Styela clava: one gene and its partners. The protein of the gene in region 4 interacts with the protein of the main gene of each other region in a pairwise test. Links are inferred from orthologs where the notes say so. Each region holds a gene or a part of one and is shown on either strand. Other genes may lie near its edges.

The links.
Region 1: the proteins of TRAF3-interacting protein 1-like (region 4) and FGFR1 oncogene partner 2 homolog interact in a two-hybrid assay, tested with the Homo sapiens proteins (2 studies listed by IntAct). The link is inferred for Styela clava from reciprocal best matches to the Homo sapiens genes TRAF3IP1 and FGFR1OP2.
Region 2: the proteins of TRAF3-interacting protein 1-like (region 4) and structural maintenance of chromosomes protein 3-like interact in a two-hybrid assay, tested with the Homo sapiens proteins (2 studies listed by BioGRID and IntAct). The link is inferred for Styela clava from reciprocal best matches to the Homo sapiens genes TRAF3IP1 and SMC3.
Region 3: the proteins of TRAF3-interacting protein 1-like (region 4) and uncharacterized protein LOC120335522 interact in a two-hybrid assay, tested with the Homo sapiens proteins (2 studies listed by BioGRID and IntAct). The link is inferred for Styela clava from reciprocal best matches to the Homo sapiens genes TRAF3IP1 and GOLGA4.

What each region holds. Positions count from the first base shown.
Region 1 is NC_135254.1:4,415,728-4,423,212, forward strand, and holds the start of FGFR1 oncogene partner 2 homolog, read left to right. Parts: upstream 1-4,470; 5' UTR 4,471-4,658; coding exon 4,659-4,718; intron 4,719-5,745; coding exon 5,746-5,887; intron 5,888-6,772; coding exon 6,773-6,917; intron 6,918-7,485. Other genes in the region: uncharacterized protein LOC120332696, read right to left, coding at 65-192; proton-transporting V-type ATPase complex assembly regulator TMEM9-like, read right to left, coding at 1,414-2,082. UniProt on the Homo sapiens protein: May be involved in wound healing pathway.
Region 2 is NC_135259.1:4,477,017-4,484,214, forward strand, and holds the start of structural maintenance of chromosomes protein 3-like, read right to left. Parts: upstream 3,022-7,198; 5' UTR 1-3,021. UniProt on the Homo sapiens protein: Central component of cohesin, a complex required for chromosome cohesion during the cell cycle. The cohesin complex may form a large proteinaceous ring within which sister chromatids can be trapped.
Region 3 is NC_135251.1:16,301,483-16,309,319, forward strand, and holds the start of uncharacterized protein LOC120335522, read left to right. Parts: upstream 1-4,834; 5' UTR 4,835-4,883; coding exon 4,884-7,837. Other genes in the region: bifunctional peptidase and arginyl-hydroxylase JMJD5-like, read right to left, coding at 1,308-2,582; nudC domain-containing protein 2-like, read right to left, coding at 2,545-3,027. UniProt on the Homo sapiens protein: Involved in vesicular trafficking at the Golgi apparatus level. May play a role in delivery of transport vesicles containing GPI-linked proteins from the trans-Golgi network through its interaction with MACF1. Involved in endosome-to-Golgi trafficking.
Region 4 is NC_135261.1:18,105,760-18,113,526, forward strand, and holds the start of TRAF3-interacting protein 1-like, read right to left. Parts: upstream 3,004-7,767; 5' UTR 2,966-3,003; coding exon 2,843-2,965; intron 2,132-2,842; coding exon 2,063-2,131; intron 1,376-2,062; coding exon 1,214-1,375; intron 671-1,213; coding exon 558-670; intron 1-557.

The DNA of each region.
Region 1 (7,485 bases), on a different chromosome or scaffold from region 4:
TAGCATTATGAAAAAGTGAACACTAATAACTGATAAATCCCAATATTCAAAAATGAGAACTTACTTGACTTTCTGTTCCACCACTCTCTTAGGAGTTGGCCCATAAGATCCATGGTTCACAAAAGCACATGATTTATCCAAGAGAAACTCATCCTTCATTTCATCTCCAAACTTTACGTCTTTCAAATCCATATTTCCAATGCGATACCAAAAGATAGATTAGAAAATTTAGATATTACTTTGATCTAAATAAGTAATAAATTGCTATAATATCACATCACAACAGAGAGAGAAATTTTGAATACACTGATAAAGTATTTTCTGCATGGTTCAAATATAAAATATATTATGTTTTATTTTTTTTACACAAGATTTGACCCCAGGAAGTAATGACCCAGAAACTATTCAAGCATCATTGATTCCCAAAGGTGAAATAGCTTTCAATTCAGGTTTAATCAAAACAAGATTGCCCTCACGAGAAATTAGATTAGAGATAGAAGAGTAGCAGACAGCCACTGACACTTGTTACTCACATAATGATTTTTAAGTGTTTGTTTTCCATATAAGCTCCAATAAAAACGGACAGTGAAATTGCTTCTCTGTTGGTTAGTTAGCAACAATATGCACTAATAATTTTATGTGCGTAAAAAAAGACTCCAAGAAGCAAGAAAAAATAAAATAATAGCCGCCCAATAAGACAGCCCCCCCTAAAATCAGGTCAAAAAATTGGGTCGAGAGAAGCGACTTAATAACCAGGAAATACTGTTTATTGGTATAATCTTGGATAACTATCTTGACTGAAACACAAACTAAAACTTGCTGCTAAAATAAGTTGACTATTGCACAAAACAAAAACAAAAAAAATTAATCACGAATAACTTGTGCACAGGAATCACAAAAAAACTGCAAGTCTAAGTTCCTAGTAAAAAACCTAGAGAAGTTTTAGGTTTCTAAATAAAGTATTCAATATGGCCAAGAATTCGATGCAGTATAAAAAGAGCATGTTGGTTGTCCCGAATTGGCTTCCTACGTAACAAAAGTAAACTAGACCTTAAGACTGAGGTTTTATAGAATTGCTTTAATATGATCTTCATTTTAGTCCAGAAAAAGAGGGCTTAATCATATGATAGTAAGTGAGTCTATAGTCTCGTCACCGGGTCGAGAATTACTAAACAGTCCGATGCAAAAAATAGGGGGTAACAAAGAGGTGTCGGCTAATTGATTTGGATTCTAACACAAGCCTTTATTACCTAGACTTGCATACACATATTGTGAAAAATAGAAAAATGAGTATGAGGAACCACTTTCTAATATCAATCTCAAGTAGTTTGGATTATTTTTGTGTTGTAGAGGCAAAGAAAATCCAATCAATTCATCCTTTCATCGGCGAGGAATTCGTGCAATCTTTTCCCATTATTGCAGAATATTTCTACTCTCAAAGACTTTATCCCGTTGGCTTTTTAGTTGTCGCTTCCACTCTACTTGTGCGTTTGTTAGTCGATTCATCATCATAGAACTTGTAGAACTATGCTGCCTCCGATGGCTGCGAAAGCGCATATTTTCGGCAGTTTCAGATGAAGTCGAGGGTCGATCTTCACTGACTAAATTCTGAGTTTCAACTCCTTGTTCTCGATTCCGCTTTTTACCGATAAAATCAACTAATCCAACAATTGCCAAATATGAGAATAATATTCCAATTAAAATCAGATACATCAGGACAACAACCTCCATAGTCTTAGTGCTTCGTACTTCATATTTACACTGACACAAGAGGCAGTATTGTTCCAGCATTACGCCAGATATATTTGCCCAATTCAATTCCGGAACGACAACATCTAAACAGTTACATTTTTCTTGAACTGCATCTTTTGTATAAACCTTTCTCGGAATATTGAGAGCAATAAGTTGTTTGCAAGTGCAGCGACACCGAATGTCATTGAATTTTGCTTCTGCCGATATCTCACATAAAAGGTTACAAATAGTGAGTAAAAATAAAGTTAGTAACGACCCCTTAATAGTAGGCAACATGATTATTTGTCCGTTTAATACTATATCTAAAATATTCTGAGAAGATGAAAACATTGTCAAGCAATGATACTAAATAAAGAATCAAGAATCCGGTATTCATTTTCACCAAGTAAAAATGTGTCTATGTGCCTAATTAGGTAACAAACAAATCAAAATTATATACAAAGAGGTATGATATTACTGAATTACAACACCATTTGCAAATTTATATAGTTTTTATTAATTTTTAGACGCAGAAGCTTTAGAAATAGGATAAGATTTACATGTTATACCCGGAGACCAGTCTGGATTTCATGGCCTTTTTGAACGAGAAATCGGGCGTGCAATCAGAAATTCCCGCGTGCAAATAAGAATTCCTGGCGTGCAATTATAGCTCACGACGTGCAAAACAACTGCACTCGCGTGCAACTGACTTTGACATCAGATACCTCTCAATACATCCGCGTAAAATTACCGGTATCGGATAAAAAAATACGTTGAATCAGAGAAAAAATGGACGTTTGACCTTTGACCCCAAACATTATTTCTACAGTTTGTCGCTAATTTTGAGAGTGTTTGTGCGACTTTGGATACCGGTACTGTTCAGTACATCCGCGTAAAATTATTGGATAAAAAATACGTTGAACCAGAGCAAAATGGACATACTTTGTCATTAATTTTGGTAGTGTTTTTACGTAGAATTAATGGATAAATAATACGTCAAATTAGAGCAAAATGGAAGTTTGATTTTTGACCCCAAACATTATTTTCATACTTTGTCACTAATTTTGGGAGTGTTTGAGCAACTTTAGATACCGGTACTGTTCAGTACATTCGTGTAAAATTATTGTATGAAAAATACGCTGAATCAGAGCCGTACTTGGCCATTGGTGCGGAGGCGATCTTTTCGTCCATAACTATTCTCACGGGATTCCTATTTCCTATCATTCAACACGATATGAACCTTTCCCCGAGCATCGACTTCCTTGTTTACTTCGTGACATTGGCCAATCAGCAAGATGCAAAAAAGGACGTAACAATGAGAGGAATTTTTCGCGGGTCAAAGGTTGGGGAAAGGTCCATGGTCTTTTTGCTTCGCAATATTTCGATCAGACCAAATCTTGCAAGCTGGTATTTGTCGACAATTGTGGAGTTATAATATTTTGGCATCTTTATATTACTGGATTATTGATTTTAAAACTATTTAAACCGATTTACATTGGTGAGCAATTGCAAATTTTCGGCGTGCAAAATTGATTTCGCTCGCGTGCATTTTTGCGGAGCGCTAGCGCCCTCGGGCGTGCACCTGCCATGGAATCCAGTCTGGCCCGGAGATACAATCAATTTTTTTTTGGTCACTCTGAAAGAAACAAAACAACAACAAACAGACAAACAAAATGCAGAGGACCTGGGCATAACTTAATAGAAAAGTTAAAAAACAGACGAGTGCGTGCCCGTCCACCAAAAACAGTCAAAAGAAAACAATAAAATCAAGACACGATGTAAAATCGAGCGATATCTTTCAAATTAATTCTTATGCGTGATTACAGAAAAAATTGATTGATCAGTGAAATTTTTTTACAAAACAAAAGTTAATCATGAGAAAATGAACTAGGCTATGTACAGTATGTGAGAAAGTGGCATGCATAGACTTGCTACAACAGACAGAATCGTTAAAGCAGACATGTACAATTACAACCGTCTGCACTCCCGAAGGTAACAGGCATTCAACTTCTTATTTACAAAAATGTACCGGTAATGATTTAGAGCTTGCATTCTTGTGCGGCTGTTTTTGAGAATGATACCGGTAGCCTACATAAAATAATAACCTCCAGTCGAACGCTACCGGTACCGTACCGGTGCCGGGTACGGTATGCTGTGAAATGTAACTGAACTGTACCGGTAACTGTTCTCCATTCTGCACCCGATTCATTCTGGTAATTATGAATCAGTATCTCTTTGTATCGCAGTGTCAGCCTCCTAAGAGCCTTGTTTAAAATAAAAAAGGACAAAGCCCGTGTATAAAAAAAAACAGGCTATTCCAAATATCTTCTCAAAGCCCCGTTTGATCCCAAACTGTATTCGCGCAAAAGTACCTCAATTCGCGCAAATCTTCCAAAATGTTTTTATCATTTCGATCAAAGTCCTTATATTTCGATCGGCTGCTGGCGCCTCGAGAAGAAAGTGGTTGATAATGTGGTTAACTGGGGAAGAAGCCGTCTATATTGTTTTATTGCAAATTTATAATAAATGTTATCATAAACAAAAATACCTGAAACATTCACCCACTCGTGAAAACTTTTAAAAGGTCAGTTCACCATGAACGATTTGTGGGAATAATACCGTTAGTGGCGATAGAGATACATTCTTTGTTTCCTCAAGTTACCAAATTTATGCCTGATGTCCTACATTCAGACCGTCATTTTTCTTATTTTATTGCTAAAAATGCATTTTCAATACATTTTTTTGGATAACTGTATTTTAGAGCAAAATATCTTTAGTTATATCATATATCTTGTTTTAAGTTATCAACATAGAAAACGATTTTTTGCAAAAAGTAAATTTAAAATCTGGCATATTGAAAAAGAAAAAAGGGTATTTTTTGAAGAGCAATCAGTCTAGTTTCCTTGTACATCGACTAGTTTGCAAAAATGAATATCACCATCGAGTCGTTGCTTGCGGACGCTAAATATCTTGTTACAAGATTGAAGGTAGAGTATTTCAATGTTTTGACAGTTAATAAAGGCTTCTACATATAATTCAATCCTCTTGAGGCAGACTTCCGGCTTTTTTACTGATTCAGGTTTTGATATTTATCCCTGGGAAGGGAAAGTCAATAACTGGCTGACTAATCCCATACCCGACATGGACTGGTAACCGGACGAGAGACTGTGGTTTGCCATATGATTAAGCCATGCTATTGTCTTTCTTCTCCCCCCCCCCCGAGATAAAAATGTAAATTCTATCAGTCTATCCTAGTCCTAAGAAAGCTTAATTACATGGCGAACCACAGTCTCTTGTCTGGTTCGCGGGCCATATTGGATATGAAGCTCATTCAACCAGTTATTAGTTTTCAGATGCATGGACTTGATTGTGTGGTAAGCTGTAACAGACCAGCGGTCACATGAACCGTTCTGTTTCTTCAGATATTAGAATACTGACTTGTGGCTATTGTATGTCAGTTCATGTAAAGGCTGGTTTGTTACTGCTTACTCCAATGTCCAAGAGCAGAAGTGCGAGTACCTGTAATGTTGAACTATAAATTAACTTACGTTGATCAGTATTATAGTAGACTAATAGTGAAAAATATTGGTATGTCTGTATATGTATGTATGTATGTTTACTAATATATCAAATTCCTTCTCTGTTGGGAAAATTGTGATGTCATAGTCTTTCGAATCATTCTAAACCACTAAAAGGCCCTGTGAATGTACTAGTTAAATTAGTGATTTCTAATCTTCTCTCCTGGTCAGACCCAAGTATAATTTTATTAGTTTGAAAGCCACGAGCATCTAAAAATCTTTTGAAAGTTATTGCACCCTGGATTATGAACCAACTAAGTGATATTTCGATCAGCCAGGGTTTATGCGGGCCACACAATTGAAACAAATTTTGGTACTCCTGTAGTATGTGAACCAAGATGGCGGAGCCAACATGCTTCTGGAGGTCACAAATTTTCAGTGCTTTCTAGCATGCACTATCGAAAGATTATTCTTTTATTTTCATCTATTATCCCAGGATCATGACAGCGCTGCTGAAAGTCTTGCCGAACAGGCTTCAACTCTCAAGAAAGAGATGGAAGCGAGAAACACATATCAAGAAAATTTGATTGAACTGAACAAAGTTGCTGGACACAGACCAAGGTCTACTTTAGTCTTAGGTAAGACAAATTTTTAAAAGAACCAGTGCTAGCTTTGCTCATGTTTTTAATGTGATATTTTTTATGATTATCTTTGCTTGCCTGTATGATATTTCCGGACATGACGTGATCGTTTTTTTATCTTGTACTGAAATTTCAATTCGAAATTGGTAATTAAGAATTAATTATCTTAAATTAGTGGTTATAAGGAAGTGGTGGAAGTTATTATTAGTTTGGAATAGAAAAAAATGTAAATATTGTAAAAATGTATAAACCAGTGGTTCCCAACTTTTTTTGGTTTGCAACCTCCTTTGGTGGTTTACACATACCTCGCGACCCTCTGCCTCACTTTCTGTACTTTCCAATAAAATAAGCGGTAAAGTGAATATTGTGTAATTTAATTTTTCATCAAGCTGCAGCTGTGATGGCTGGCATTGAAACCGCGTAGCCAACTGCGTAATTCGTGGTTTGAGTTTTTGACAAAGCTAATCTCAAGATGTATGATAATCTTCACAAACTACAAGCCTACCCTGCAGTAGACCCCTTGGTATTGAAATCCTGTTCCACAGCATTGCTTCGAAGCCTGTGTGTTTACCGCGTCACGGCGCGGAAATGCAGACGAGTTCGTGTGGCGTCACAATGGTTAACATGCCATATACAACTCGCGCAGCTTGCCTCTTTCGGAGGCAAACGAGAGTCAATTCCAGACTTCTTCTCGTTCTATTGGCAATATTTAACCTAGAGCTTTGTACTATTTTCTACTGTTTGGCAAGACCTTCGCGACCCCCTTGAAAACCCGCCCCGTCTCCAGGTTGGAAACCACTGTTTTAAACAAATGTGGATCTCAAATAATACTTCTGATAAAAAAAAAATTATGTTTGCTAAATTCACACTTTTATCTTCAAGGTATTCAGCAAGAAAATAATGCAATTCGGTCCCTACAACATGAGAATGATGAATTGCGACAAAGTTTGACCGACCACCAGAACGCATTGGAACTTATCATGACTAAGTACAGACAGCAGATGATGAAGTTCACTAAGCACCAAAAGTATGTGGATCTTGTCAATGTATTTCATAATCTCAGTGAGAGGAAAGTCTGATTAAATACATTTAATGCTGATAAATACATTTATTCCATTTATACTCAAGTCCATGCCCACAAAAACTAATCCCATACCTGAGGACATGGTTAGCCATATGATCAAGCTGTCTTATTGTCTTTTCCCTTCTCGTGGATGAATATTTAGGCTATTTTCTATCCTAATGTTGAAAAATAATAATGAACTTTCAATTGGCTTAAAATATCAAAATCAATCAACTGTGACTAGAACCACTGGTTATAAACCAGTGGATTTTGAGTTGGGCCACAGAACTGATAAAAATTGCTAGTTTTATTTATATTACAATAGTTAGTTTTGATTTTAGCTACAATCAATGACAATGCTGTTTACTGCTAATAGGTGGTAATTCCAATTCAAATAAAAAACGTTGAAGTGCCAGTTTTCGCAGAAAGATCTTGATTTCACTTCCAGTTTTCCCCTTGCAATAAAAAAGTTAATGGGCCACAAGAATATTTGGGCAATAAAAATGGGCCATGAAAGAAAAAAGATTGAGGA
Region 2 (7,198 bases), on a different chromosome or scaffold from region 4:
ATTTCGAAAAAGGTAAATAATACTTCTAATGTATACCCAAATCATGTCCAGTATGGAGCATTATACAGAAAGTAGTCCATGAACCGAGTTATATTACAATATTATTCATATTGAGTAAGCATGTAAAAATGGAAAAAATGCATTATTGAAAACATGTGCAAAAAGTTTCATCTTGTCAACTTTTACTCCTATGTCAATATATTCAATTATTACTTTATTTATTCAATAATTACTGTAAAAAAATAGCAGAATAAACCAGCTTTTTAACTTGACAGATATAAAAATAATAAACCCTACAAAATTATTAAAAAATGTATTTTAAAATGAAACATAAAAAAATGAAACAATTTAATATAACCTTGTCTAGAAATTTTAAAGTTTTGAAATAAAAAGAACAACAATTTTTATATTACTAACATTAAAAATCAGTGTTTACGGAAATTAATAAAAAGCACTGAAAGAATCTGGCACCACTGCCGATTCGTAACATCGTGCCATGTTTGTTGCGATTATAATATAAATCAATTCGATTCAATTCTACAATTGAAAGTTCGTTTCCTGACTGCAGGACTGTTTTAGCTAGAAACTCTCGAATTCTAGAGTAAATTTATTTCGAATGATTTCACTATTTATTTAGCAATAACTTATCCATTCCGTACAGCAAAGTTCTATGATTTCAAGGATATCGCCTATATTGAAAGACATTGATTATAACAGTAGGAGCAAACCCCTCATTTACGAGACAGTCTGTAGAGACAGTCAATTAAATATTTACTGGGGCATTCCAAGCATGGCACGATCTGATGCATCTGCCTTCGTGTCGGGGCAGACACTCTTGTTTCAGAGACAAATGAAGTGTTTGTTTTCATTGCACACTTTCCAAATTCCAAGAATGTCCCGTCATTTGGTTCAATAAAACAAACACTCCATGTGTCTTACAAACGAGGGGTGTCTGGCACAACGGCAGATGCGTCATATGGTGCCATGCTTGCCTCGATTATAATCTAATATAATCGTGGCGGGCACACTGGCACATGACCAAAATTGCCATTTTTTGCTAAAAACTCTCAAATGCCACGGTCAGACGATAGAAATAATTCTCCTTCTGTAAATCGGACTATTTCTTCACCGAGGGAGTCAACTATGACGTTTTTAGATTGCGCTTCTTTGTAGTTTTTTTGCGCAATTCCATATATTCGTATATCAATGAATGCAACCTCCCCCCCCCTCCTTCCTTTAACAAGCCAGTCTGGGCCTTCAAGGGGACAAAATCTAAAAATTACTCAGAAAAAAATAATCTGATTTACCCAAAGAAAAATATTGGGTCTAGTATAGTTTAGTACAACAAGTACTTCCAGTAGGCGTAGCATAACGAATTTTGCATATGTTATTCCTAACCACCACCTGACTATGCCATCCAAAAATCACGTCACTACGACATCACCATTACGTCATAGGGCTTGCCAAATTATAATTACGATCGCCCGGAAATGGCATCTGCGTCGCGATAACGAACTCGGTAAAGCCGGCGATCTCTCTCCTATCGAGTCTGGATTTCATGGCCATTTTGAACGAGAAATCGGGCGTGCAATCAGAAATTCCCACGTGCAAATCAGAATTCCCGGCGTGCAATTATAGCTCACGACGTGCAAAGCAACTGCGCCCGCGTGCAACTGACTTTGACTTTAGATACTGTTCAATATATCCGCCTAAAATTACCGGTATTGTATTGTATTACTATTTATATACTTTGTCATTACTTACTCAAATGTCTAAAAAATGAACGTTTGACATTTGACCCACAAACATTATTTTTATTTTTTGACATCAATTTTGGGAGTGTTTTTGCGTAAAATCATTGGATAAAAAATAAGCCGAATCAGAGCCGTGACTGACCAGCGTCTGCGAGGAGTCTGGGGATCTATTCGCCCATAACTATTCTCACGAAGTCCCTATCAATCAACACGATGCGCCATACCGCCAAGCAATTATGAAAAACATGATCTTTTTTGCTTAGGCATTTTCTGACCAGGCCAAATCTTGCAAGCTAGTATGTCTGTATGCAGGTATGAAATCGACAATTGTGGAGCTACAATTTGTTGGCATCTTTATATTACTGGATTATTAATTTAAAAACCAATTAAACCAATTTTCATTGGTGAGCAATTGCAAATTCTCGGCGTGCAAAATTGAATTTGCTTGCATGAATTTATGCGGAGCGCTAGCAACCTCGGGCGTGCACCTGCCATGGAATTCAGTCTGGTCTCCTAGTCCTATCGCAGTATCGTGATCGTTGTGACAAGAAAACGAGAAAAATAGCTTGCTCGATTTCGGGTGATCGTCTGCGCGTTTTGGACGACCATTCGCATACTTTGGTGGGCCTTATTACGCCACTGTGATGTCGAGATGACCTAATTTTTCGGTGACGTAGTCAAGTGGGGGTTAGGATTGACATACGGTAGCCTATGCAAAGCCTATGCAAAAATTGTTGAGCCAGGCCAACTAGAAATGCATGTGGTACTAAACTATACCAGACCCAAAAAATTACCATAGCATTTGGGAGTTTCAAAGTTTATCATGAATGGCATTTTTGCAGAAAAAAAATTTTCAACATTAGTTTTAATTTAACAAAGAGAAACATTTTACAAAAATTAAATTTGTCACCAAAAACAATAATAGGCTATTCATTTCAGCATTTGGTAGCACAGTCAGACAGTAGCAATCACGGTACCGGTAGCAGGGTAGTGTATGCGTGTAAGTCGGTTCTGCAATCAGTCACTGGACCTCCATCTCTGAAACTCCTCAACGTCAAGAAGCTGAAAATTCATGCACCTATCACTGTGACGTATCTGTATCATCATGCAGTTTTGAAAATTTTGCGCTCGACGGTAAAAACTATTGTCCAAGCTAACTCCATTTCAAATTAGTGTCTTTCAAATGTCTGATTGTCTGCAAATAATAGGCAAAACAAAAACAAATCAGAAACGAAAGCGAAGGAAAAGCGACTGAACCCGAGTTGCCGCCATTTTACGTTTTGCGTCATAATATGACCCCTGACCCTCTTCACGCAACAATGGATTTGTTATTTCAAAATTTCACGTCGCTTTGGTTGTGGGGTTGTTGGTATGTATATAAATTTATAAATAGATGTGTAGACTAAAATAAATAGATGACTATCCTTTCAAAAATGTCTCTTTACATCTTTTATTCAAATGTTAATAATATTACTCTACTGTTATAATTGTAACATTTATGGATATATAACCAGTGGTGGGATTCAGCCGGTTTGCACCGATTCTACAGAACCGTCTCACGGAATTTTCTGAGATCAGCGAACCGGTTAGCATTACTGGTTACTGTCAATGGATTTTTGCATCTTACCTGAGACACCGATTTTTGAGAACCGGCTGGAAAATATGACTTTTGTGATGGAACCGTCTGACAAAACATTTGAATCCCACCGCTGTATATAACGCTTATTGTAATGATGGTAAAACGAGTTGTTAACAGTAAAATATTTCACTTATGTTATTAAAAAAAAATTTTGGTTACCGATGTTCTATTTCCGATATTAAACGACAGATGTCGTTTTTATCTCAAAAATTTAAACTAAAATTGGAGGTATTCGGGAGGTATGTACTTTGGGTGCGAGTAAAGTCGTAACCATTGAAGCGAACTGCTCCCGCAGTGGATGATTACCCCAATTAAATGTTTGTTATACTTCACCATATCAAAATTTTTGATGTGAAAATTTTAGCTTAGTTGGTCGCAGCTTTGGGGCTAATTTTTAATGCTGCAATCACACTAAAATGCTCGACAGTCGACAAAACCCGATATTCCACTCAGTGACCATTTCACGGTGACAAATACAGCTATGTCTACGCCCGTTTATACAAGAAAAAACGCTCAGCCTCAACAGTTGCTGCTACTTGCTAGTAGCGTCATAACGATCTGTATTGTTGTGTGCACGCTTGGATAATCTCGAGAGCTCAGACGAATCTCCTCCAAACATTCGTCATTTATGTCGGAGCTCAAAGAAGCTCACCACAGTCTCACTTCATTCTGGAGGTTATCCAGAAAATACAGACGCTCAATCTCATCCACCTGGACTGGTTTATTCGGGTGAAAAATTGATATCAAGGAAAAAGTGAAGGATTGTCAATGGAGCGTTCCCGAATAGAGCAGCTGAAGCCGTCGGCATATGGAAGGTATACGGAACGTTGGGAATACTGGGAGGCTGAATCAGCACAGACGTTGTCGCGTTGAACTTGTACTTCAACTACTCTGGGTATTGTAAAATCTTTCAAGTCAGCTATTTCACAAGTTTCTTTGTAAATATTCGATGCAATGTCCGATTCATTGCGTTCTTAAGTGAGAACGCTCTAAACGGAGGATGTGAGGCTCTTTACTGACGCACACTGACTCCGACCGCGTGGAGTATGCGCGCGAATGGTTCTATCAGAATGGTTCTATATGATAGAAAACAGTTCGCTACCTTTCACATATCTTAAAACAATGCTTAGTTGTTCTGTCCCTTACGGACACAAACGTTCTCCATAATTATATCTTGCATTATCATATTGCTTGCTACCCCGAGAATCTCCTTTTGTATCAAATCTCCACCCCCGGTGTCGATACGAAATTGAAGATGCTTTGCAAAATTTCCATTTCCCAAATGTCCACGCGAAGGTATGTTACTCGAAGCATAGAACATAACAGTCTTGACAATGAAAGCCATTATCATAGGCGTAGCCAGCAGGGGGCGAGAGGGGCCATGGCCCCTCCCAAATTTCCAAGATTACCAAGATCTGATAATGCCCAGAGTAGTCGAGATACAAGTTTATCACGACAACATCTGTGCTGATTCAGCGTCCCAGTCCCAACGTTCCGTATATCTTCCATACGTCGACGGCTTGAGCTGCTCTATCCGGGAACGCTTCATTGGCAACCCCTCGTTTTTTGCTTCACTATCAATTCTTCCTCCGAACGAACCAGTCCGGGTGGATGAGATTGAGCTTTTGTATTTGTTGGATAACCTCCTGAATGAAGTGAGACTATGGAGATCTTCTTTGAGCTCCGACGTCAACGACGAAGGAGCTTCTTCTGAGCAGTCGAGATTATTCAAACGTGCACACGGCAATATAGATCGGTATGACGCTACCAGCAACAACCGTTAATGCTGAGCGTTCTTTTTCCTGTAGGAAACGGGTCAAGACATGGCTGCGCCCATCAATGACGTCCAATCCCCTTTTCGATTTGTGTGTCCTTTATTGTCATCGTGAAAGGATCACTAAGGAGAAGATCAATCGGGTTGTGGCGAGCATAGTTGGCGGAAAGCGAAGGACGGGTTTTTACTGGTTCAGATTGCCTCATAAATATTTGTTGTATCAAAGAAAAAGTTGTTCGGGAAAAAATATTGTATTTACAAAAAGCCAGCTAAGTTGTTGAATGTTATTTTCCTTAACGATCGAATGTGGTCTTTTTCTGCTTAAAGAAGTGATGTCTCAGACCCAATATCATTGCTTGAAAATACAATATATATTTGGCCCCCACCAAAATTTTGGGCTGGCGTACTTTTGGCCATTATTATTCTGTTTTCTTTTGTTTGAGTAGCATATTGGGCCTTTAAATTCACACACATAATTTGACCAATTTTAATGCTTTTGACGATGTATGACTCAGGACTTACCCTGCGTTGCGCTGGAAACGAAACAACAACTATCGCCATGTAGTTCACATTTTTGTCACGCATTTTAGCCATTTTCCGAAAAGAATGATTTACTCGGCGGCAGTGTATGTATGTGGAAGGGTAATATATGAAACTGGCGGTGTCGAAAAATAAAGAATTTTTTTGGATTCATTTTTACGGAGTTATTCCATAACTACGTACTACTAAATAGCTTTATTGACAGTGACAATATACGCAGGTATATGCATTAGTTGATGACCATATATCCATAACAAATAAAGAAGGAACCTGGCGAACGTTGGAAGTTATTGAAAAAGCGGCGATGTAATGTTCTTATATGTTGCATAGTTAAGATACTATCAGTGTAAAGCGTTTCAGATATACACTGTAGATAAACAGCTCTTTACCTATATTTCGCTAAGCAACTATATGAAATAGGGTAAGTTTGAAACAGTATGTATCGCATAGATCAAAATAGTCGATTCCCCAATATAGAAAATCTAGTTAGCCATTTATCGCTGGAAATTTTGTTATCCATTCGGGATTTGAGAAGAATAACAGCTTATCGTAAGCTTGCTAATTGAACCCAGTTGCAGGCATGCAAATCAACATCCGTTGCACCAGTTTTATCACCATTTACTTTGACTCTCCCGCCGCGTTTGTTATTTGTGCGATGTCCTCATGCTCCGCATTTAGCAGCTCTGATAGTACTTGCAGCTTCCGCATTTCACAGGAACCGATTCCGATGGTTTAGCACCGATTGGTAAAATATAGTAACTAACTACAAACGAACATTTGCCACATTTGAGAGTGGAGTTGCTCAGAGGACGCTGTGTTAATATTCCAGTTATAGTTTTAGAATCGCTCAAACGTGGACTCATTTTTAAAATATCAGTTTTAATTGTAATGAGGCTATAGAGATCACTAAATTGTATTCTATGGAGTTTAAAGGACTGCTAGCTTGGACACTATAATGGATAACTTTTATGGATACAGCATAACGCAAAGCGAATGAACAAGAAGCTAGTCCAAAATCTCTGGTATAATGTTTCTATATTTTTTTGAGAGGACGACAAAATAATATCGAGGACAAAATTAGCAAAAATACTAAAGTTCAATTTGCTTGAAATGGTAATCTATTTGTTGAATAAGATTCATAAAATGATATTTGCCATTATGGTTAATTGTTTTCCAAAACTTTTCAGCTTCAATTCATTATTGCAAGGGTGCAGACTAGCCGAGATTGCTGCATTTTGTCAATCAATTATAACAATTCAACAATTGACTCCCTTCAAATACTTCTCATTGTATAGCGAAGATATAACAATGCTAAATTAATTAGTCGATTTTCAAAACTAGGAATTTTCTGCCCCCGCGTCTGTGACATACAGACGTTATTTTTCTCCGAGGTTCTTTTTTCGCTTCGCCGATGCGGGCCCGAAAGTAGAGAGAAGTCGTGCAGTCGACCGAGGTCTTTGCTCGAGGCGGGTCGTGTTTGCGATAAGCTGG
Region 3 (7,837 bases), on a different chromosome or scaffold from region 4:
GAATAATAAACTCTGTTTTCCATTTTTTCACATTTTAATTGCTTTCGCATTGCATTTTTGTTTCTTCCAACTTTTATTTCGGTAACATGCAACACCAAATTAAATGACAAGAAAATGGAATTTTCTATTCGATGGATTGATATGTGTTTGACAATAGTTAAAAGTGATCTATTTACCTAGCAAAATGTTTTTATACCAATGCACTATGACTATATGAATCTGAATATCTACAAAAATGCTACCGGAACAATATGAAAAATTCATGACTACATTTTTTCTATCCTTAATTTTACAAAATTCTATTCAGGCATTCCCCATTATACTGAGAGATATTTGGAGCTTTATAATGTTCATAATTTTGGCAGATTCATTGAAATTTTCGAAGCCACCACCAGATAAGGAGTTTACATCCCTGAGAGCTGTAAATAATTTTCTGCATGCACTGTGTAATGGAGCAAAAGTAATATATTTTATTTGTTATAGTGATCTTCATAAACTAGTTGTTTAAATAAAACAAAATCACAGATTGTGAATAGTGGTTATCTCTTCTGCAAAGGAATTAGAATGGTATGATAATTGCTAAGGTTACGACTTCTTCTTCATTTATAAACAGGCTTGTAGTGCGTTAGAGGTAGCCTCGTCATGACGTTTTTGCTGGTATTTCACTGCAAACTGTTTTCTTAAATGTTTTCTTAAAGAAGTATATGCCAAGTCCACGGGTCTCGGTATCCTGAATCTCCTTGTTACATATTCACAGGCAACTAAATAGTACAATTGTTGAGATTATATTTATTAGTAGTTCAACATGTATGATAAAATAGGCACAATGTATTGTTAAAAAGGTGGCATATTGTTAAAGGAAAACTGCATTCATCACTCTATAAAACCAGACAGTAACTACTGACAAGAAAGAACAATAACACAATTTGACGGGAAATTCTATCATTCATTAGTATTCAACACGTTCAGTATCCATATGAAGTCTCAGACGAATTTGAAAGTCAAATTGATATCGTTGACCTTGCATATATTGATTTTTTTTAAATTGGTACATTACATGCGGTGCTTCAAAATGGCCACTGCTACCTGTGACAGGTAAATGTTGCTACATATACCATTGAATCTGTGTGCAAAATAATTCATAATATTTTGTTTGTGCTAGATATGCCTTTGTTAATTTGGAAAATGAATATAAATATTCAAGCCAAATTGACATAATGGGTGTAGGAGTGATGCCACTAAACCCCAGTCAGAATCCAGAAGCATAATATTCAATATAATCTACAAACAAGTTTTATTTATAAACATTAATTCCACCAGAAACTTACAGAAAAGCTTTTATCTAGCGATCTAACATAATGCCAGTAACCAGGAGGTATATAAAGCATCTGGCCAGGCAGTAAAATACATTCTTCCCTATGATTACGATCCATTTCAGTAAAAAGTGGAAAATTTGTATCATCTGGCTTTTCAACATCAACTTTTGATGTGTTGTTTAACATTCCCTCATGGGGGTAGAGAGCATTCTCATGTGAAGGATGATATAACCGTACATATTTACGTCCCGCAACTTGACATAACAGATTGTGTTTTTTGTCATAATGACATGGTGAAACAGTGCCACCAGGTCCAAACCAAGCATTTATTTCGGTATCAGTATCAGGGTCCCAATCTGGCATTTTTGAAATACAGCAATAATCTGGAATACATATGTCATTTCTAAGCAGTGGGATTTGATCAAAAAGTGTATGTTGTGCTAAATACGCTTTTGATGTACAATCATCATTAAATATATATTTTTGAATGAAATTTGAAATAGTCATTAATTTTTGACCCCAACTTTCATCAGTGTATTTAGCACCAAGTTCTACAGGTACAAGTCGGTGTCCTGCAATATTGTTAAGATACTGAAAATTCCATTTAGCCATAGCAGGCCAATGATCAATGCAATCGCTAAGCACCATGGGAAGAGCATGGTTCATAAAATCTTGGAAAGAAATTAAAGATGGATTTGATAAGACTTTTATTGGATTATGTACTTCTGGATCTAGTTCATAATTTTCAGTGTTTTGGGTCTCAATATATTTCGGTTGGGCAGGTTTAAAAATTTTAATAATTTTGTGTAATATACCATTCATTACATTATGGCCCATTAGCAAGCCCATGTCAGAGACTCTACAAATTTCTATCAAATCGTCATCTGTTGTGGCATTATAGCCCAAACACGAAGCTTTGAAGACACAAGCAAATGAATATAGTTTTTGCCACACAAGCGGGACATTTTTCCAATGAAAAGAATTCAACTTTTCCCATGTTAAGTCTAGTATCATTTCTGCATTGTCAAGACATTTTTCAATATTGTTTTCATATAATAATGTGCAACATTCTTTTAAAATGAATAATGAGACATTGTCAATCTTATTGCAACATACATGGAGACATTGTACTATTGTATGCTCCATTTCTGAGTCTGTGCTAGGTAATGTTTGCTTAAGTTCAGATTTGCGAGTAGTAAAATGTAGTATTGCTTTCGGAGATTCAAGGTTAATACTCTTTTCTGAGGTCAAGAGTTGGTCCACCATCTTCATAATTCCCTGTGATCTCAGCGTTACTGAAATCGAATCCTGGATTTTCGAGTTCAAATCTTTCGAGAGTCAAATTTTTTTGCATTTGATCTTTCGTTAAAGGGTCTACAGCAAATTCTCCACCCTCAAATAATGATGGCCAAAAACAATTTTCTTTCTTGCGACTGCGTTTCACAAGCAATATTCGGATTAATTTTTGATCTTCCACACTCCAAGTTGATTCGTCCACCAATATTCCTTGCGGTAGGGGGCTGTTAAATAATTCCTTCCCCCTCACAACGCAAGATAAATGCTGGGGTTCAATCACCACATTTACTTCTTTCCCCCTTGTCCCTTTCTCAACATCAACAACAACAACCACGTCCTGCACAGTTTGATACCAATTACCCCAGGGAGTCTTGCAACATGCAACACCGCTTCTTTCGTCGAAATCGCTATTCATTTCAAAATGTAACTCCAAGTAAACGGAAAATTCTACGAGAATAAACCGCTCAACTAGTAGCAATCGCAACCATGTAACAAATGCTTTTCACCGAATAGGCTATGATGAACTTATGCTAAAATCATGGTTAATTAACCATGCTAAAATCAATCCTCCACACAAGAGTTCCAGTGGTGGATAAGATTCTATGCGGAACGTCACCAATCTTCCGTAATTAGTGGGCAAGAATTTCCATTTTTCTAAATGTATTTTACAATCTGAGATTTCATTTTTCTTGTATTAACAATTGTGTAAATATATTTTTTGGCTACTACACGTTTTCTTGGATTGCATGATGTAACTACGGTATTTATTTCCGCTCAATCAATGACTATTACATGCTACTGAAAATTTGCATCGTAATTTCACTGCGACGTGTTAATGTTATCGTCATCTTGAATGTGTTATAAGTTAGATCTAGGCTATATGATATCTCGTTTTCTCTGTTTTACTGAAATTGTTTTCGATTTATATTTAGTCTACTGGGTACCGGTAAGCTGGCAAGGGCGACAGGTTCGCCATATGGTTAAGCCGTCTTATCGACTTTCCTCTTCCCGGGATAAATATGCAAATCTGCTCAGTTCAGCAGTTGGATGGCATTTTAGATTCATATGATAGGCGCTCCATAGTTATGTAATGTACGGTAACTATATAATATAAGTAGGCCTACTGTTGTCATGAATCTCATAATTTACTGTGATAAATATTTTTTCAACGTGCAATAGTGAAATAGATGGACAGATTTGACAATTTTTGATACTCCAAACTCCAAAGTTTACTCTTTGTGCAGTCAATAATTTATTGCTAGAATAGAAATGGTTTCTGGATTATCGTAATTTAGTTCTGTAGTTTTGTTCCATCTTTGTCAAAAGTTCGTTAATAGGCTAATTCATATCTGCTTTAATTTATATATGTCTATTCCTGTACTGTTGTAGAAATATTTTTGTATAGAGTTGCAATGCAGTTCTAATTAGTTCTCATTTAAATCCTTGTCCGAATTTATGTTTATATCTCATAAAAGCGCCATGTGTACTCTTCTTTTTCTTCAATCAAATTAACTTAATAAATAAATTATATTACTGTTGTATCGTTACCTCCCAGTCATACTGTGAACTTTTGTTCCACTTATTTTGTTATTGAAATTTTTTATATTATGTGTTTTGTTTGACGAAATAATAAATTCTCTCTTTTTTTATCACTGACTTATACTCCTGTGCTTACTCATCTGTAATTATTTACAGACTTTTTGATCCACAGACGTTTCGCCCCCTCAGACCATTCCAATCACTAGATGGCATATGGCGATTTGAGTTATGACTTTGACATGGCAGTTTTTTTAAATTATATTAAATAAACACTCAAATATTTTAAGATTTAAGTGATTAAGGATATTTATCCACCACATTAGTGCCATATATGGGCAACCTGTGGCTTCTGTACAACCTTAACCCTGTAACCCCCTACCCATGCCCAAATTTCCTATGAATCCACATGTATTTTTAGGCAACTCCAATGCCAATGTATTATTAACAAAAAGATTAACTCAAACTGTCTTATTTGGCAGAAAAGTCTGTTGGGTGAAAAGTCTGTTTATCCCCTCACATATAATCACCTCCCATGGGATTTGAACCTGTTCAGGGTAATCAGAGATGCGATGGCTTACCATGATGCACCGACTGCCGAGCTGATTCTATTTTAATCCTAGTGGATAGGCAGATTTTGCATATGTTAACTATTGCATCGGGAAATCCTCAAGTCCTACAATTAATTACAACTGATTTCCCAAATTAATATTTGCAGATAATTTGGTTGTAATCATGTTTAAAAACTTGAAACAGAAAGTATCTACTGATCAAAAAGTTCGAACTCCACAGTCTGCCAATCGGGGTGATGCTTCAAGCACACCCACTGGTCGTACTGGAACATCTAGATTGCCACGACCATCCAATTCAGCGCCACCCAGGCGATCCAATTCTGAGAGTTTGAATGGTGCCAATGGTGCAGCTACTAAACAAAATAATGAATCCATGGAATCACCAGATATTGTACAACAGGTGGGAAATATATCAGGTGATGTTTCTCCCAATCCTTCAAATCATGGAGAAACGGATCAAGCACAAAAAAGTGCTCAGATAGCTACTGAAGCTGAGAAAAAAGTTCCATTTTTCAAGAGACTAGAATTTTTGACTCCTCTTAAAGATCAAGTTGCAAATAAACTTTCGGAAAGTAAGGAATCAATCAGTTCTCTCGTTGACGAAGTTCGTGGCAATGTAACAGGTTCTTCCAATGAACGATCTAAACCGGATATTGTTGCACAAACTAACGATCGTCGGCGAAGTGATTCCATTTCAGATACAGAAGAAATATCAATGAATCGGAATGCTATTGATGTAAGTGCAATTCCCAAAGAACAACTATTTGCAAAAGTAATGAGACTGGAGAAAACTCTTCTTAAATATAGAGAAAGATATGCAGAACTTGCTTCTAATTTTCGTGAGGCGAAACAAGAAAGAGAAAAGTTGCAATCAGTTATGCAACAGACCCAAGATAAAAATCTACGCAGAATTCAGGAACTCAAAGAAGCCGCAGCGTTGGATTTGAAAGCCAAAATGCATCTCGAAGAGGAGTTTCGAGTTTCTCTGGAAGAAAAAGATCAAATGATACAAGTGCTTCATACTCAAGTTGCAATTCTTAAAGATGATCCGCAGAAGTCTCCACCACCAGTACAAACTGAAACTGCTCAAGGCCAGGGAGATGATTCAAAGCTTCAAAAAAGGGTCAAAACCTTAGAAGAACAACTCAAATTTGCTAAAGATACTTGTGAAGGTCTAAGAAGCCAAGGTGATGCTTTACAAGAACAACTTAGTGAGCGATTAGAAGAATTAGAAAACCTGAAAGATTCGAACGTTGCGGAAAAGTCGAAACTTATCAAACAATTGCGTGAAGCAAAAAACGTTATTGAGAAAATTGAAGAGGACAAAGTCACTGCTGTTGCAGAGGCCAAACGACAAATGCATGAGATTCTTGAAGGTAAAGATATCGAAGTAGAATCCTTACATCAACAAGTCAAGAAACTGCAAATTGATCTTGATGAATTTAAAATGAAGAAAGAGCAACGGGAAAATTCTTTGTTGGAGGAACTTCAAAAGGCAGTTACTATTGGTAGAACAGCAGAAGCTCAAAGAGCTGATGCTTTATTGAAAACTGAAACTATACAGAAAGAAATGGAAGGCAGAATTACAAAGATTGAAGAAGAATTTGATGCGGAAAGAAAAACTTATGTTTCTGAGGTTTCACATGCAAAAGCTGATAATCTTGATATTAATGAGAAACTTGAAAATGTAATGAAAAAACACAAAAGTGATTTAGAGGCTCATACAAAAATGCATGAAGTTGCATTGCAAGAACAAGCAAAGAAATATAAACTGGAATTGGATGAAAAAGAGAATCAAATGAGATTAGCAATTGAGGAGAGAGAGCTGAATAAAATGGCTGCAGTCTCACAACAAGACACTGAAGCTCAGAATTTGTTGAAACAACTAGATACAGAGTTGGAGAATGTTCGTCAAAAAGTGGAAGAGCTTGAAAAGGCAAGAGTGGATGAGGCCAACAAACATGAAGAGGAAATTACCATTCTAAAAGACAATTTTCAAAAGGCGAGTGAAGAACATAAATTCGAACTTGACAGCCTTAAAAAATATCATGATGATCATATGACTTCGAAGGCTCAAGAGTTTTTAGAAAAATTCACAAATCAAAAGAAAAAGTTTGAAAACAAACTTCAAACAAAAGAATTGACATGGACTGAAAAGTTAGCAGAAGCTGAGAAATCATACTTACAAGAAGTTGACGATTTGAAAACACAAGTAAATGAACAAGGTAAAGAGAGGAACGAACTTTTTCAGCAACAAGCAGAGAAGGTTTCCCAACTCGAAAAAGAAGTCACTCTGTTGAATTGTGATAGGGAAGCCTTAAGTATCAAATTTTCGCAAATAGAATCTAAACTTTTTGAAAGAGATACACAATTGAAGGATTCTTTAAACGAATTAGAAGAAATCAAAAACAGTGCAACTAAAGAAAAAGAAGATTTGAATTCGAATATTGAAGCAAAAGATAACATAATTAAAGAACTAAACAGTAAAATGGAAAACTTGCAGCAGGACTTTTCACAGAAAGAACAAGAAAGCTTACAGCAGAATGAAGTTTCTCATGGAGAACTTGAAACGTTGCAGGAAAATCTGAAAAATTTACAATCTCAGAAACAGGAACTTGAACAAGCTTGCAATGCTGCTGAAGAGAAATTGAAACAAAGAGAACAGACAATGAAAAAACATGTCTTGGATATGGAGGAAAGCCATAAATCTGCAATCGGTGATTTATCATCACAGTTAGATAAAGAAAAACAGGAATCTGTGGTGAAAATTGCTACTTTAGAAAAAGAGAAATTGGATCTTCAGAAATTACAAGAAGAAACAAATAAGAAATTTCTTGAAGCTGGTGGAAGATTAAAAGCACTTGCCCAAAAATTTAAAGCCACTGTTAAAGAAAACCAGACGACTGTGACAGAGAAAGAATCTATGATTGAGAAGTCTAAAACGGAATTAAATGAAATCAAAATAAAATTAGAACAACTGGAAGGACAAAATAGAAAAATGGTTGAAAATCATGAAATGCGATTGAAAACAATGGAGTCTGAATGGGAAAACAAACTGAAAAATGAATTAGAAGGCTTGAAGGAGAAATCTGAAAAAGAATATGATGCGTTAAAAGA
Region 4 (7,767 bases):
GGCTCGTGTCACATTCGGAGAGTAATCAAAAAATAGCATTTCGAATTGTTTTGTAATAAAATTAATCAGAAAAAAATCTTTTTACATATTGTTACACCACTAATGTCACTGAATTGACTAGTGTTATGGCTAGTTGAGGCAACTAGCGAAGTTGAATGATGTGCTTGACAGTCTAAATTATTATCTGGCTTTCTATCTTTTTGGTCGGGAATACATGCTAACAATAGAAAACTAAAAATCTAATGCGGATTCTATTAGCCTTGGATGGCAATGTCTGATAACTATGTGTTTGCACAATAAAAGCGTCTGTTTTGTATTGCACTGTTCACCTAATCCTGGCACTATTGAGGCCTGCGAGCAATGCAAAAATGATTTTGTGGCCCGCGGAGCTGACAACCTTAGACCACCCTGTTCTATGGCATTGCGTCAAAGCATCTGTAGACCATTTACTTTAAAGCATGTTTACAAAATATGAGTGTTTATTGAAGGTCCAGCAGCCACTGTTTCAAGAGTTGGTATTACAAAAAAAAAAAGCTGAAATTCATTTTAATAATAACCTGTTTTCTTTTCCTTCTTTCTTTTTTGAAGATCCAGTGGGAGGTTTCTCTTGAACTTTTGATGATGTTTTCTTACCAGTGAGGACTTGTTGAACTGCATCATCTGATGAAACCTATATTAAATTTTGAACAAAATATTTGATTCTCTTCCTAAACAAGATTCTAGTCAAGAAAACAAATACACAAAAATATCAGAAAAATTAGACTTAGAACATAGTTAGCATGTGTCTCTTTGGATTTCAAATAAAAAGTTGTGGCTAATGAGAATGACATCATTTTTTCCCCAAATAGCAAGTATATTATGGAGGTTTTGTTAGATGACAATACATTATGTATTATTCACTGTTTAATTAGCTTATGTCTCGTTTTATCTGAAGAAGTTAGGGACTATAATCTAATGGAAGCTCTCAAATATGCTTGCTATTTCATGGGGAGAGATTATGATATTCTTATTTATCTTTCAATACTATCTCGTTCAAGCATCCTTGTGGCAACAACCACTTCATATGAATCTGAAGTAGGCAATGAGAACAGACCTGCAGTTCGATACACAATTTCCTACTACCTCTAATGAGATGTTTGAAATCATGTTTCCTACAATTAGCACTTAGTAGTAAATTAAATTTCAATTATGGTACTAATGATCAACAACATACATTTTTATGAATACATTTAGCAATCGCTTGAAGTAATTCATTAGTTTTCTCAGGCTCGTGTCCTGCGACAATTTTTGATGGTCTAGCAGCTAGTTGGTCACCAGATACTATTGACACAACGTCGATAACTTTTTGAAGAAATGCCATTTTATCTTCTTTTGCCTAAACAAAGAAGAAACTGCTAGTGAAAAGTGTCCATGCATCTGTATGGAGTAAATAACATAACTATCTAAAAACTGAAGGGTAAAAGGATGAGAAGACTTGGATGGCCATGCATGGGTTATTAATGGCAACAGTGTTTTCCAATCGAGGTGAAATTTAACCCCAAAGAAAAAAATTTATGTTTTACCTGAGGAAATTTTTCTCCATAGTATTACTAATATCTTTTACTTGTGTGATATTATTATAATACATATTTTTGCCTACATTATAAACTATTCAAATAAAGCATACAAAACTCAGAGTGCAAGTTATGCAGATCACTAGTTTATAATCCATTATTGATTAAAGAACAACCGAAAACAGAACTCTGACATGTTGGGGAAATGAGCCAAGGGGAGAATGTATCAAAAAAATTTGGTACCACTGGAAGATATTTTCTTGCCCTGAACGATTACAAAAATTTGAAGGCCGTAAAAATCTCTCGCTTTCCATGTATAGGATCCCCAACAAAATAAAAATTAAAAATTTTTTGGTTAAAATTCAGAATAGGGCCTTATTTCTTTGCTTAACAGAGAGTGGCTTATTCACGGCAAGATGGTTTATCTAAACTAATAATTACTGTTTTTATTCCCATCATTTATGATGAATGCGATAAAAAATTAAATTATATCTGACTAAACAACTTACAGACACATTCTTAGAATCCATCTCTGATGAAGTAAACAGTCCATTTAAAAATCCTGTTGTTCTGATCACCTAGAAAGTTTGCATATTTGTTATAACAATAATCAACAGTACATTATTAGATATCAGCTAGTACAAACAAGACGGCGCTCCAGAAGTGTGTGTTCCAATATTGAGGTAACTAATTTTGTTCGCCTACTCTACATCAAGTTGTGTGGAGGGACTGAAACATATGGGGAGGGCCCGAACTCGTTACTGAACTAACATAAGGAAAATCGGATTAAATTATGGCCGAACCCTAACCTGGTACACACACTAATTTTAATTGTAATCATTCTGTCTTTATGACTGTATTTAGATCAGAAATCGTATTAGTCTTAAATACAGCTGAGCAGTAAAATGTGAGAATTTTTTACAAAAACTGTCATTTTCAAAACCCACTATCGAATACCCTGAACAAATCAAATGGGTTATGGACAAATATGATAAAAAATCATAATATTTTGTAAAAGTATTTTCGTTTTTTCCTTTGTGGTACTAATTGAGTAAATTATCACATTAACCATTAACAGCTTTTTTCTATTTTAAACCCAAAATATTGATGATGTTTGGCAATTATTATTTGGAATAGCCAACTATTTCATATATTGATTGATATGCCAATCCTCGCTTTTAAAGGATAGTACATGCTTAATTTAGGAGGCAAATAATTTTCATCAAAAGTCACACCATCAAGATCGTAATTTTGAGATATAACTTATTCAAAAACATTTTCATACAAACCTCTGTGAATATATCATGTAGAAATCGAAACGGTGGTTTTGAAAGCAACTTGTCCGTCAGTGGAGGTTTTTTAATAATCTTTCCGAGAGTATCTCTCGTCTTTTTCATTACTTCTTCTCCCATTTCGAGTATGATTATTCAAATTTAGTATTATTGCTCAAAATCTTTAATAAAAAAGATGTATATTGGAATATAAAGTGTATTGTATTTACAAATTTCGAAACTTACCAATTTCAGAATTTTTATGAAATTTGTTTAGAATGTTCACCAAATTGGATAGGATAGGATTTACATAATTATCCCGGGGGAGAGGAAAGGCGATAAGACGGCTTATCCATATGGCGAACCACGGCCTCTCGTCCGGTTACCATTCCAAGTCGGGTATGGGATTAGTTAGTTACACTGTCTTGTTTGTTTTCGGAAGCATGGACTTGGTGGTGGAGGAAGCCGTAACCGACCAGCGGTTACGTGAACCACCCAACGACGGCGAGGAGTCCAGCAATCCTCTCGCACATAACCATCCGAGCATGGGATTCGAACCTGCGAACCCACGCAGAGTAATTAGAGGTGCGGTGGCGAGCGTATTCCTAACGCTTAACCCGTTGAGCCACACCGCCGCGCCTGTAAATATAATAAAGTCAGACAACTACAGAACTAAGTAAGAAACAAAATGCTGAAATGCCAGTGATACTGCTGTACCGTAAAGTCGACTACCGGCACCGGTACATTAACAAAAAAAGCAAAGTTCTGATTCCTAAGTCAGAAAGATAAAGTCTGGAAATACCAGTACCGGTAAGAGGTAGTCACAGGTATTCCTGTTTCCACATTTCCTCATAATTCTTGAGTGAAAGCTGAGATAAAGCATTTAAAATCTTAATGGTCAAGACGACCACTTTCTAAGCTCTAACTAGTGCACCTCCTCCTACATTTCAAGTAATTAATTAGGCCCGAAAACAAATGAAAAGCAAACCCTGTTTCCCTTTATATCTGTCCCAAATGTGATTTTATTTGGGTTACGGTGTAAATCAAGCTGTTGTTATGTGCGTTTAGGTCACCGCTTCGAGGCGCTCTTGATTTGCGGCCATGGTGTACTCCTTCGTAGGCTTAAATTGTATACGTATAAGTAAAAGTTTATTTCGACTCCATAATCAGCAATAGACGATAAAGCAATTGATAAAAACAAAATAAATAAAACTGATTACATGGTCGGGAAAGCAAACGAAACTTCAAGCAAGGTTTAAAGCGTACATATTTTAGGTGGAGAGGTATTGATAAAAGAAGTAGTACGTCTTCGCTCACCCAAAAGTATCAAAACTAATAAACGCACGCACACACACACACACACACACACAAACATACAATCGTCGAAGCATGATAAGGTCGGGAGTGAAAAAAGCGAGACATAAAATCAATTACTCAGTAAGAAGAAAATTGGCAAACAAATAAAAAAAATGAATAAATTCTTTTCCCACACGCCAGGGATGGCCAATTCGAATAAAGTATTCGAATATCACGTTTCCGAATATCGGAATTAACGTTCATAAGAATATCGGATATTTGTGTGACGTCACACATTTTCGACGCCGCTTTCAAGACGTTTCCGTTGAATGAAAACATTCTCGATTGAAACTTGCGCGTGATTTTTCCACAAATTTGTTCCACGATAACGATGACAATTATTTTATTTTTGTACCCGCACAGAATTGTGAATCTGGTAAATACGTTCATCGGCGGCGAGTTTCTAGAGACAACGCAACTTTTTGATTGAAAAGCGGCAATTTAAAATACTGAAAATAAAACCGTAATCGATATAAGTTTTACTGAGGCCCGCGAAAATTTAAAAAACGCTTTTCTACGCAGTGAAAATCGCAAAATTTCGTGTGCCTCTGGCACACATTATGTTTGGTCGTCGTTTAGAAACATATCGTCACGAATTGAGGGCGGGATTTGCCTGAATATCCATTACTTTAAATTGCCGTCGAATAATGATACAAGGTTTGAAACGCGACTTTTTCCCGGGTTCTGAGGATGTATATAATATAATTAATCTAAAGTATATTCAATCAATTTTATTGTGATGAAATAAATTTTACTCTGAGATGTTACAGCAGATTTATGGGTTTTTCGAACGGTTTTATCTAAAAATAATCAGAGTGGCAGCATTTCGATTGAGCGGAGTCACTAATAACAAGCAGGCTACATCTAAATATTTGCCGAATTCGCAAAATAGGGATCAAAACTTTAATTAATCGGGCAGTTTACCACACGTTTCTATTTTTATGACCGCGGGTGCAATGGTATATAAGAGTGGTGAGGATTTTATTCTGTCGACGCAACCGCAGGTTAAATTGAAGACAATTAAATTAATAAAGCAAGACATTTTAAATATGCCCGAATCGGTCACGAATTCATCACTTTGCACAACAGAAAAATATGTATTCGTTGTCATATTATTTGTTGTAAAAGTTGACTCTTTTAACAGGTGGTATAATCGCGGCGATGAATATGTATTTTTAAATTCACTGCTAAACTTTATATGTATATTCATTGTATGAAACGAAATATACTCTACACTTAACAAGATTTTATTTCATTATTTGGGATTTTTCTAACGGCGATAACGAGTTGGCAAGATTGCAAAAATACGTATTAAAATTAAGTACATCAGGCAGTTTATTTCGTACTTCTAGGTCACAGATCACCAAGGACCGAATAGTAATGTTTTTTTTGACGTAAGAAGAAGAAGCCGCGAGTTACGTTGGACACATTAAATTAATATATAAAGATATTTTAGAATCTCGTAGTTGTCATGGATTGAATATTTTACGTAACAGGATGATCATTATACGCTGAAAAGACGGCTCTTTTAACGAGCGCAGAATCGCGGTGGGTGTTAAAGGCGGCAATGGGAATTTCCGATTTCGAAAATTCTGGCTGCGCGGCTGGCAGTGATGGTCATCCATCCTCTAATAATTTATTTCTAATTTCAAACACAACAATATGTTACACATAATAACAATATGATTCACATAAATTAATATACAAATATACTGGTAAGAGGTAGAATACTCTAGGCTTAAATATTAGAATTTTCGAAGGCAAAATGGATTTTCGATTGTTGTTGCTTGTTTCATTTGTCTGTATTGCCAATAAATTTTATTACTCTTAGAAAATATACACAATTATCTGAAGTAGTATTTTGTCAATAGACTTGACTATTATCGAAATATCATGGTACCAATGATAGAAAGCGTCAGACAACTCCTTGGCTATCTTTTCATATGGTCATTTGTACAGAGTGAATAATTTTAATAAACTGACTGTGTCACAAGTTGCTATTATTTTTTTATTGATAGCTATGAGCTATCAATTACTTTGTGTACATATACTGTTGGTTTGTGGCTTTATTCTGATATTTCTATTGAAGCTTATTTCCTAATTTACTGGGTTTTAATAAACTAAAACAAAAATGTGTTATTTTCAATTTTAGAATGTATCCGGAATAGCTTAGTATTCGGAAATGGCCATCCCTGCGGCCACACCAAATAATAATTGGATTGCCGAATTGGATACCGAATTAGTCAAAAAAGAGTTATATACTGTGGATAGAAAAATATTCCTCAAAAGATATCGTCAAGCTGATTATAATTGGAGTCACCTAATTCCAAATTGCCCAATCAGAATTGCCAAGTTGGATGCATGAAGAGGTGGGCTACCCCTGCTTCACTCACCAGATAGAAGCCAAAACTAACCAAATTAACGTCCAAATTATTTTAAATATTGTTAATCAATAAAAGTACCGGTAATTATAATTAAAATTAATTAGGGCGGTATGATACAGAGGTAGGAAACTTGGTTACGGGAATATATAGAATATATATTAAATGTTCAAGTAAGGTTTCTAAAGTCATGGATTGTAAACAAGCAAATTTAAGTGAGGTTGTTGATCACTACGGTCAGTTCAAATTCATCACGGTTGATTCATTTTATGTTGAATTAGCTAGCTTTTAAATTGATCATCATGACGTCCTAAAAAACGAAAAATATATCTGCGAGTACAATATTCAATGATGGCAAATAAGGAATCAATAGAAAACTACTCTAGACTTTTGAGAGGAAGTTGTTGATGTGTGTAAATTATTGATCAATGTTAATTAACTATCATTAAACTGCCAGTTGAAAAACCCGAGAAAAAGGAGATTGTAGATGGGACACAGGAGAAATTGTCCACAAACCAATTGAATTACTTATTTCTATAATAACAGAAAAGTCTTATACAATACTTCTATCGATACATGTGTCGGCATCAGAACTATTTGCAGATACCTATTATGCAAACTGTTTTGCTTCATGATGGGAACATTCGAGTTACAGTATTGCCAATATTACCATTTTTCATAGATCATGCTGACTCGTAGATGAGATGCCATGTGAGAGTTAAAACATAACAAATAGACATTTTAAGACATCATGCGACGTGATTCATTTCGTCGTGTACTTTTTGTATTATTTTTATCCACAATTTTTATGAGACTTCTGATGCTATATTCCACACTCTCTAAGACCTAAGTTGTTATAGAATCAAATTACGGTTCCAATGCATGTATGACCATATTGCATATTTATCACATCAAATTATATTGAATTTTTGTTCAGCCTTGAATCACTCATAATTATTTAGTCTGCATTTTGTGTGACATTTTCACGCCCATTACACAAATACAATACAATTGCAATATCGTCTGATATATAATTCTAGAAGACATTTAAGACTATCAATCATGCATTATTCTCTGTAATTGTTTACAATAATAACTATACTATACTATCTATCCCAATGTTTCAGTAAATATTTTCCATATATTCGGGTTATAGGCTGTTTAGGTTCAGAAGAATTCAAATTAGATTAATATATATACTATATA